Arabidopsis thaliana: one gene and its partner. The protein of the gene in region 1 interacts with the protein of each later gene in a pairwise test. Each region holds a gene or a part of one and is shown on either strand. Other genes may lie near its edges.

Region 1 (5,670 bases):
GTTTGTACTCACGGTATATGTCGGTATCGTAATAATACATGCAACTTTTGATGATGAATTATTTGACATATTTAAATACATCAGTTTTACAAAGAATTATCACAATTATCATTTTATAATTGTTATTCAACAATTTTCTAGAATATGTCCTTATAACTTTGCTATGGAAAAGATGTAACAATTGTACGTAATTTCACTTTAAATTTTGCATCCTGTTGTTCTCAAAGTTATCAGCATCGCAAATCTTAGTCATAAAATAGTGTATACTGTATAGTATATAGTAATGCACGTATGACGTAAGAACATTGAATGTTTTTTGATATTGGTACATCAGTGTAAGGCATGTAGATCCCATCGAAGCGACCAGATCGAAAGTGACAAAATAACAAAAGGGTGGCAAAAGAAATAAAGCCATAAAGTTGCAAGAAAGGAAAAACTACTTTGTTTTCTTTATCCGAAATAGGACTCGCAAATTGCAGTAGCATATGTCACAATTGATGATCAAGATTCATCTAATACATATAGAATAAGATATGGAAATCTATTAAATCCGATTTCTTTGAATATGAACTATGATAAAACTATTGCTTGATTAAGTGTAGCCTTTGGTCCAACTTTGCATATGAACTGTGATAAATAATATTTCAAAGTTGTTTCAATATAAATTTATCAAAGTTATTTCAAGTTGCATAATTCAAATGTGAGCAGTGTTTAGATTGGGGCACCAAATGATTAAAAAATAAAATAAACATTTCATTCATATATGTTTTTTATACAAATGACACCATTATACGTAATTCTAAATACGTTAATATATATATGAGTCAGGAGGTTGGTGTAATAGATGAGAAGAATGAGGTTCTTTGGTCAGAAGTGGAAAGCAGACTCAGCCTCTATTTTATACTCAAATCAATTCTTCATACCTTCCACCAAAACTTTACTCAATATTTAAAACTATACTATAGCCATCTTCTTAAATAAATCTAACCCAAAACATGTTTCACAAATTTCTCATTTTTGTGTGGTGTTTGATCTCTTTGAGTCTTTTTTTTTTTTTTAATCTCTTTAAGTCTTTATTACAGTATATCTTTATAATTTGCATTTAACACCATAAAATAGATATATTGTGGTAAATTGTTAGGGTTATCAACTTGTCATAAAGCACAAGTACTCTTTTTCACAACTATAAGTCTATAATTTAATCGAAAAGAAAACACAGATTTTTTTTAACATAACAGGTATTTAGTAGACAGAAACACAAAAATACAGAGTAAAAACAAGTTCTTACTTTTAAACCACACAATACATATATAATAAACTTGGTTTTGCTTATATTTCTCTAATTACAGTTTCAAAACTCAGATTCTTAAGAACGCTGAGTTTGGGGATTCTATGTTGCCTTAAGCTCCGGCACTGAAGACATTTTCTCCGGCGAAGTTAATGGCAGCTTCGAATGAAGTTGGTGATGGAGAAAACAGATTTTCTGAAGAGAGATTCTGACCCATAAATATTACTCCCTCCTCCGTATCATCCTTATCGATAAACCCTAAATCAGGGAGAATATCTCTATGATCGGAAAAGGAACGGTTGAGATTGGCATTGAGAAGATTGCCGGTTGTGATGTCATGGATACTTGGCCTGCGTTTGTCCTTGGCTCCGGAGAGCTGTCTCTGGTAATACTTTTGGGCGTGGCTCGCCACTTGCGTTGGCGTCTTTGACACCACGAAGTTTCTCGATATGTTTCTCCAATCTCCTTTACCGTACTTGAGAAGGCCTAACAAGAATCTCCTGCAAGGAACAAGAAACAGAGCATTGAAAACCCTAAGAAAAAAGGGGATGACTTGCGTTGCAAGGAACCTAGGAAGAGTGACTTATATGGAAAGAATTCTGTAGAGATGAAAGAGTGTCTTAACCTGTGTTCTTCCTCTGTCCAAGGGACTCCTTTCTTTCGATCTTGATCAGATCCTCTAGCTCCACTAGGCCGTTTACGACACATGTCCGTGTCAAACCCCAAGGGAGAAGAAGCTGCAGGATAACCAGGAATGGGAACACGTCCTGCTTCAATATCGAAAACGTCTTCTTCAAGCTTACTATATTGCTTCATAACATCAAAAACAGTCTTTCCAGGGATCATGGAAGCAACTTTAAACCAGCGATCAGGCGAGTCTTCAGCGTATATCGCAAGAGCTCGTTCGAACATCTTGTTCTCTTCTTTAGTCCAGCTACCGCTACTCGAGCTGTGTAAGCTCACCATCTCTTGAACAACGAACCGGTGGTCAGAGATAGGTAGGTGAGAGAATGGATGCAGAGTCTCCATACCTAAAAACAAAAAAAGGGAAGAATAAGTTTCAACTACAAACACAGCTCAAAAAAGTCCATTTTCTTGCTCTATGTGTGGAGGAAGCTTAAAAGATAGATTTGTGATATAAGGAAATAATGGAAGCTTTTATATATAAGGTTTAATGATAATATAGTAGGAATCAAAGAAGAAGAAAAACAAAAGGGAAGGAAAAATGAAGAATCGTATACTGAGGGAATCAAGAACCTGATTTGGGTAAGAGATTTGAAGCATATATAAAACCGACCCTCGAATCTGAAAAAAGACTCAAAGCTTTGAAGAATTTATGAGAATCTGCAAAAGTGAGTCGTCGAAGGAAGACAAAAACAGCAAAGCAAAGCCCACTTGAGAGATAGAGAGAGAGGAGAAGACTCAGAAGCTGAAGAAGACCCAGTAAAGAGAGAGAGATAGTGAAGGAAGAGTAATATACAGAGAGAGAAGAGTCACTGTAGATATGGGAACAGAGTGAAGAGAAAGAAAAGGAAAGGTTTCTTTATTTTTGGGAAGATTTGGCGTATTTGGATTGGAGAACAGCGAATGGCACCACTCCACTCGGATTCTTGCGGTTCATTTTTCTCAGAAAGAAAAAAAAAGTTGATTGATCTATTTGATTCTATTATTTAATTCTTTGGAATACGACAAATTTGTTCTATCGCCTTTTTTCTGGTCCACACGGAGACATACTGTATGGTTTTGTTATAAATATAATGTTTTGATAATTACAATCAAAAGCGCCTGTAGCTCAGTGGATAGAGCGTCTGTTTCCTAAGCAGAAGGTCGTAGGTTCGACCCCTACCTGGCGCGATTTATCTCTTTTTATATCTTAATTTTGTCTCCTTAAGGAGGTTGTTTAGGATTAAGTTCTTACCTGGAATTAAGTGATGATTGGTTTTAGTATCTATGCGTCGGTGGAAAATATTTTTAGAAAGTGTGACAGATTCAATAGCTAAAGCTCATTAAATCCCACTATCTCTCCATTTTACTTGTGATGCTCACATAAGTTTTAAATTACTTTCTGCAAACAGAGAAAATCAAATAAAAGTATATCGGTTGTATCAACTAATCAAACTGTACAAGGTTTTTTAACTTAAGTTAATTTTGAAGAAGAGAAGGCTACATAGAGTCATAGACGATAGGATACGAATGCTTTGAAGTTTATTTCTCATCTGCAATAGAGACAAGAGTAATTTCTTGCGACAAAAGTTAACCAGTAACTCTTATAATATTTCGACTGTCATAAAATCTTTCAAGGAACCTAATAATATAACATCTCACACTGTTCAAAAGATAAATCAAGAGTGTTTAGCATAATAAGACATAAGCAGAAGAAGTTTGGGAGAATATGACGATCTTAGGCAGCAATGGTAAGGCCACCAGATCGAAGTCTAAGCAGCCAAGACATTCTCAAACTTGAGTTCTTCAACAGCAAGAAAATCTCTCTGTACTCTTTCTTCACAAACAAATCCAACGCAAACAAGTAAAGATCACTACCTTGCTCAACCTCTTCCATGGAGTCCAAACACTCAATGCATTCCCCAATGGTATACTCGTACTGCCTAACCGATGCACTCACTGGACTCTCCTTCATCAGCTCAGTTTTTAACCTGTGGCATCCCGGAGTTACAATTTCAACATCTTGTAACCGAGACTCTGCAAAACCAACACTGTTAAATCTCCGGTGCTGCGGAGTAGGCTGCTCATCATCGTCATCATTGTCATCTTCATCAGCTCCACCTTCACTACCTGAGACTGGCTCGTTTGTGTAAAGTGTTGATAATGGAGTTGGGTCATGTAGCTGTGGTGATTCGGAATGATGATCAAGCACTCTCCTGCGATAAGAACGGAAATAGGCTTTTCCTGGTTCTATAAGTCCTTTGAAGATGGTTGCTAGTTTATCCGCGTGAGGAAGTTGTTTCCTTCTGAATGGTGCTGCTCTATGATTCTCCTGTTAATCAAAGAACCAATGTTAAGCTGCAAACTTAATCAACTAATATAAAAAGTCGAGTAGCGTTTATACCTTCAAGTAGTTTTTCCAGTCTTCATCAGTAGCACCAAATGTTCGAGAAGTTGCATCCCATTTCATGACAGGAGCACCAATCACTTGACACCAGATCTTCCACGATTTCCTGGTGCAATCCCAATGATTCTTGAGTTGCGGTCTGGTGAAGCTTTTACCGGTATTCTGATTGATAGTCTCAAGGATCATTTTCCAAGTTTCCTTTGGATAATGTGAGTCAGGTCTGTTTCCTTTTAAAGCCTCTTGGAACAACAAATCAACAAACAGCTCATGTGAAGACGGTGACCAGTATCCTTTCGACTGAGGACTCGAGAAATTAGAAGCGCTTTGCGTGTCTTCTTCATCTCCAGTATTATCATTATCTTCATCACGATGCTTGGCTATTCGCTTCCTTTTGCTACCTGAAGTACCTTCATCATCTAAGTTACTATCTTCAAAGATAAGCTCAAGTTTCTCGAGGAACGATGGAGGATTCAACCGATACTGCCCAGCCTCAGGATTCACCTGTCACAAATCCAATCATGAGTTTTATTATAGACTCAAGAAACAACCAAAATCAACACAGAAGATAAATTGTACATGTAAATAGTTGGCCCAGTCTTGATCATTAGCACCAAAAGTGTTAGTCTGAGGATCCCATTGCATATCACTGCATTGAACAAGTCTACACCAAATCTTCCACTGCTTGATCATTGTATCCCAGTGATTCTTAAGCTGGTTTCTGGTGAACCTAGCGCCAGTTCTTTGTAGAAAAGGTTTCAATATATGCTGCGTTCCAGGTTGATTCCCTAACATCTTTTGCTCGACGCATAAGTCCACAAATACTCTGTGGTATTCTGGTTCCCACGCAGCTTTCGGCATCATAACTCTTCACTATACGAATAGATAAGTAAACAACAACAACATAATTGAGAAGTATGTATGGACTAAACACACATTTGTCATCCCACAATTGCTTTTGATTGGAAGCATTACAGGACTTATCAATTCCAAATGCATAGATTCTAACAAATTCATAACCAGGAGACAACAAAAGACGAGAGACCCAGAAAAAAATAAAATAAAGCAAAGATTTTTGCAAGGCAAATTCTGAAAATCTATTAGATCATTCATGTGATGAAAATTAACGCAATTTAGAGTTAAGCTCTGTACACTAGATCGAGTACTATTTGGCCCTAACATTGAAAGAACGAAGAAAAAAACGATTTTGAGATTCGCAATTTGTCTAGATGAAATGGAGAAATCAAAGGTGTGAAATGTTTACCAGAAAAACAGCGGCGAGAGCGATTCTGAGTTGTGTTGTTAAGAGTGTGGC
Region 2 (3,881 bases), 3.0 Mb from region 1:
TACTAGCTAGTAGGTAATGTCCTTTATTAACTGGTATCTCTCTGTTACTATATATCAATCAGACCTGCTTTTGGATTTGATAAAGAAAGTTACAGAAGATTCTGCTCTTCCTGCAAATCTTTTAACGACTGTTCGTGTCCTTGTTAATCTATTCAAGAATTCTTCATTTCATTACTGGCTACAGACGCATCATAGTCAAGTAAGGACTCTTTCATTTCTATGATTTTATACCAGAACTAGGATGTGTGATGATCTCGATGAACCTACTAATTGGTTTAGCTGTGACTTGCAACCTGAGGAGAAATTTTTGGGTTTTATGTCTAATATACATTGCTTTTTTGCGTCTGGGCATATAAATTAAGTTTCTAATTACATTTAAACATAAGATAGTGCCTATACATGTGTGTGTTTATTATAATAATTTGAGAAGTGGTTTTAATTGCTGTGGATCAATGCAGATTCTTGATGCCTTCTCAAACTGTTATTCATCCCCAAATAAGAATCTGCAGTTGGCTTATTCGACGTTGCTTCTCAAGTAAGATCTCTCTTATATTACTTTCTTCTAGTTGGATTTTTGCCAAATTGTAGCTTTATTCTATTATTAAACTCTCTGTGGAGAAAGATCAAACCGTAATCTATGCTTTTGTTCTTCCTCAGTTATGCAGTGCTATTAATAGAAAAGAAGGATCAAGAAGGTCAAGCTCAAGTCCTTTCAGCAGCTTTGCAGGTACGCCTAAATTTGGTTATTTTTAACCACTGTTGCATACATCCAAATCCTATTCATCGTCACCGAGTTGAATCTCATCTGTTTTTATTTTGTCTCTGTCACTTGCACAAATCTCTGAGATCAAAGTAAAATCGGAGAAGACCAATGTACCAAATAGTTTATTATCATTTTTTTGGTGCTAAAAATATTTAACTTATTACTACAGGTAGCAGAAGAAGAAGCTGCAGATGTTGATTCCAAGTTCCGGAGTCTGGTAGCAATTGGCTCACTGGTTAGTTTCCGCAACAACTAGAGTAACGTAATCCACTTGTTGTTAATTACATAATTTAATCGGTGTGTGTTTGTAACAACAGATGCTTGAAGGTCTCGTGAAGAAGATAGCGATAGATTTTGATGTAGAGAGCATCGCAAAATCAGCGAAGGCGTCAAAGGAAGCCAAGATTGCAGAAGTTGGGGCCGATATCGATCTTGTAATTCGTCAGTAACCTTAAAAGAGAGTCTGTGATCGAACCCGGGATTTGAATTTTCAATGATTCCCTCAAGAATTTTCATATGATTCAAAATCACTTTTCCTTGAAATGCAATTCAACTTTTTTGTTTTCAGATTTCTGAATACTAACATATGTTAAAACTTAAAAGATTATGGCTTATGGCTTCCATTTTGAGTAGAATTTTTGATCACCCCACATTAACATTCTACTAAGCGAAACCCTAACGTTCTTCTTCTTCAAATGCCAATGTCTTGGCCTTATCCTCTTCCCCAAGCTAAACGCAAAATACTGCGGAAACTTCTTGAGCTCTTCAAGTTCTCTTTCCATGTCGTAAACGAGAAACTCGAACTTGGGCCTCAAGTTATCTTCAACACTGTATCCGAATATCGCCGGGATTCTCCCACAGACTCTAGCTGCTTCCTCGTGTTCGAAACCTATACTCTTCAAGAATCTCATCTTTGCTCTTAGCTTCTCAACTCTCGTGTTCAGCACGTGCGCGTTCGTCTTGCTGGCTCGGTTCAGATTCCGTACCCCTAGCTCCTTAAGGTAAACAAGCGTCGGTCTCAAGCAATACTCAACGTCGGAGAAGAGGATGTTCGGGCAATTTACGATTAAGCCCCTGGATTCTTCTGCGGAAGCTCCAAGCTCGCCGGTGAGAAAATCGAAGACGGGATCGAGTTTAGAGATGTCGAAAGTGGGCGAGAAGAGCTGTGGACAGAGGAAAACGAGGCGTGGGAAATCTTCGTCGGAGATTCCTTTCGATTTGAGGAGATTCACGGCGGAGAGGATAACGGAAAGATCATTCGCCGGAGGAGCAAGTCGGGGATTCTGAGGAACAATTCCGAGAGAAGAAAGGTGTCTTAGATTTTCACGGTGTGAGGTTTGGAATTTTAGATAGAGAGGCTTAGAGCTTGAAGGAGAAGGAGGAGACGAGAAAGACGAGAGAGGTTGAAGATGATGAAGTGAAGCAATAACAGCCATATCGATGATTCTTCACTTCTTACTTCTCATCCCGGTTCGATTTTATTTATATCTGTTAAATAAACCAGAAATTAGCTTTTGAAGCGGTTTAGTATGAGGCCGGTTCTGTTAACTACTATACTTCATGGACCTTAATATAAATTGGGCTGAGATAACAAAGCCCATCATTATAAAACCCCTAGACCAGAAGAATCTTTTTCTCTTTGCTCTTTAGATTCTCAAAATCCAGAGAGAGCTCGTTAGGAAAAATGAAGGCAGTGATAGGGACAGTGGTGTCGAACAAAATGCAGATGTCGGTGGTGGTAGCCGTCGACAGACTCTTCCACAATAATATCTACAATCGATATGTCAAGCGTACTTCCAAGTTCATGGCTCACGATGAAAAGGACTCCTGTAACATCGGCGATCGAGTATTTTCCCCTTCATTTTTTGAATTTGATATACATTTGATCAAGAGCTCGAAAATTTAGGGAAGCTCTAGGAATATTTGAACTCAACCATTGGAAGTAGACTTGCCTGTTTGTTATTAGGCTGCTTTGGAAATGAAACTTGATTTGGTTGTTTGAAATATTAGGTGAAATTGGATCCTTCAAGGCCTTTGAGCAAGCATAAGCATTGGATTGTTTCAGAAATCATAAAGAAAGCACGCATTTATTCTCCACAAGCTGCTGCTGCGGCTCTCAATTCCTCAACCTCCATTGCTGAGCAGCCCCCTGTTTCGTCTTCCTAAGGTGATTTAGTTATTGCTCTCTAATTTTTTGTATCAGAATATTTTGTTTCAGTGTATTGTCCTTTGATACCTTTAGTGGAACTGCATGAGAATTGAACTTTGCTGTTTGACATTTGAGTTTTGATACTGTTTCTAAAGGTATGAGAGGCTATTGTGTGGCAATATAGCTTGTTAGGCATCTTGATGTTCCATTCTTAAGTTCTTGGAATCCATTTTGTGCTCCCTACATTTTCTGTGTCATACCCACTACGATTTATAGCTAGTTAGGCATCTTGATGTGCATCTACCGTAATCTATTTTTCTTACCTTTTTGGTTGGTTAGGCTTTAAAACTCTGACTGTTCCTCTTGCTGCAGTTTTGCAGTTCTGGCGCAAACTCACCCCAGGGTCGAACAATGTGGGTCGCAGACGTAGCACCATCAGAAACAGAGAATGTGGTAACTTCGAACATAATCCATCAAGCTGTAGTGTAGTGCTTTAGTAGATGATATTGATCAGATTTCGATCTCCTGATTACTTGTATAATTGATGAATCCGAAGTTACAGATTATCTATTGAAAGTTTGATGAATAATTTTCACTCTAGCGAAAAAAAGCTAATTCAAAAAGACCAACAAGTTTACAGAGATTGTGTTGGTCAAAATCTATTCATAAGTGATGTTAAGAAGACCAAACTTACTCATCTAATTGGATATAAGCATTTGGAGAAAGTAAACGCCAATATGTAACAATGCATATAAGAATCCAGCGCCAAAAGTATTCAAATTCTAATGTGTCCTATGAAATGATTCTGGTTTGGATCCAAGTTTTGGAACAAACCAAACCGAATTAGCCTTGCCATGTCAGCATACTCCAATCAAACATTGATTGGTCTCTTGTAATGTTATGTGGGTCCCATCATATCAAGATGCAGTGGCAGACGCAGTAGAACTCTTGCTGAGTCTCAATTGTATC

The links.
Region 2: the proteins of AT3G11280 (region 1) and AT3G18870 interact in a two-hybrid assay, tested with the Arabidopsis thaliana proteins (one large-scale study listed by BioGRID).

Annotation. Positions count from the first base shown.
Region 1 is NC_003074.8:3,532,077-3,537,746, forward strand, and holds AT3G11280 (Duplicated homeodomain-like superfamily protein), read right to left. Parts: upstream 2,919-5,670; 5' UTR 2,546-2,918; exon of another isoform or gene 2,320-2,545; 5' UTR 2,318-2,319; coding exon 1,914-2,317; intron 1,789-1,913; coding exon 1,401-1,788; 3' UTR 1,135-1,400; downstream 1-1,134. Other genes in the region: AT3G11290 (Myb/SANT-like DNA-binding domain protein), read right to left, coding at 3,690-4,283, 4,356-4,859, 4,935-5,219.
Region 2 is NC_003074.8:6,507,141-6,511,021, forward strand, and holds AT3G18870 (Mitochondrial transcription termination factor family protein), read right to left. Parts: upstream 2,204-3,881; 5' UTR 2,200-2,203; coding exon 1,375-2,199; 3' UTR 1,245-1,374; downstream 1-1,244. Other genes in the region: AT3G18860 (transducin family protein / WD-40 repeat family protein), read left to right, coding at 63-199, 459-535, 658-727, 933-998, 1,081-1,212; AT3G18880 (Nucleic acid-binding, OB-fold-like protein), read left to right, coding at 2,448-2,609, 2,774-2,929.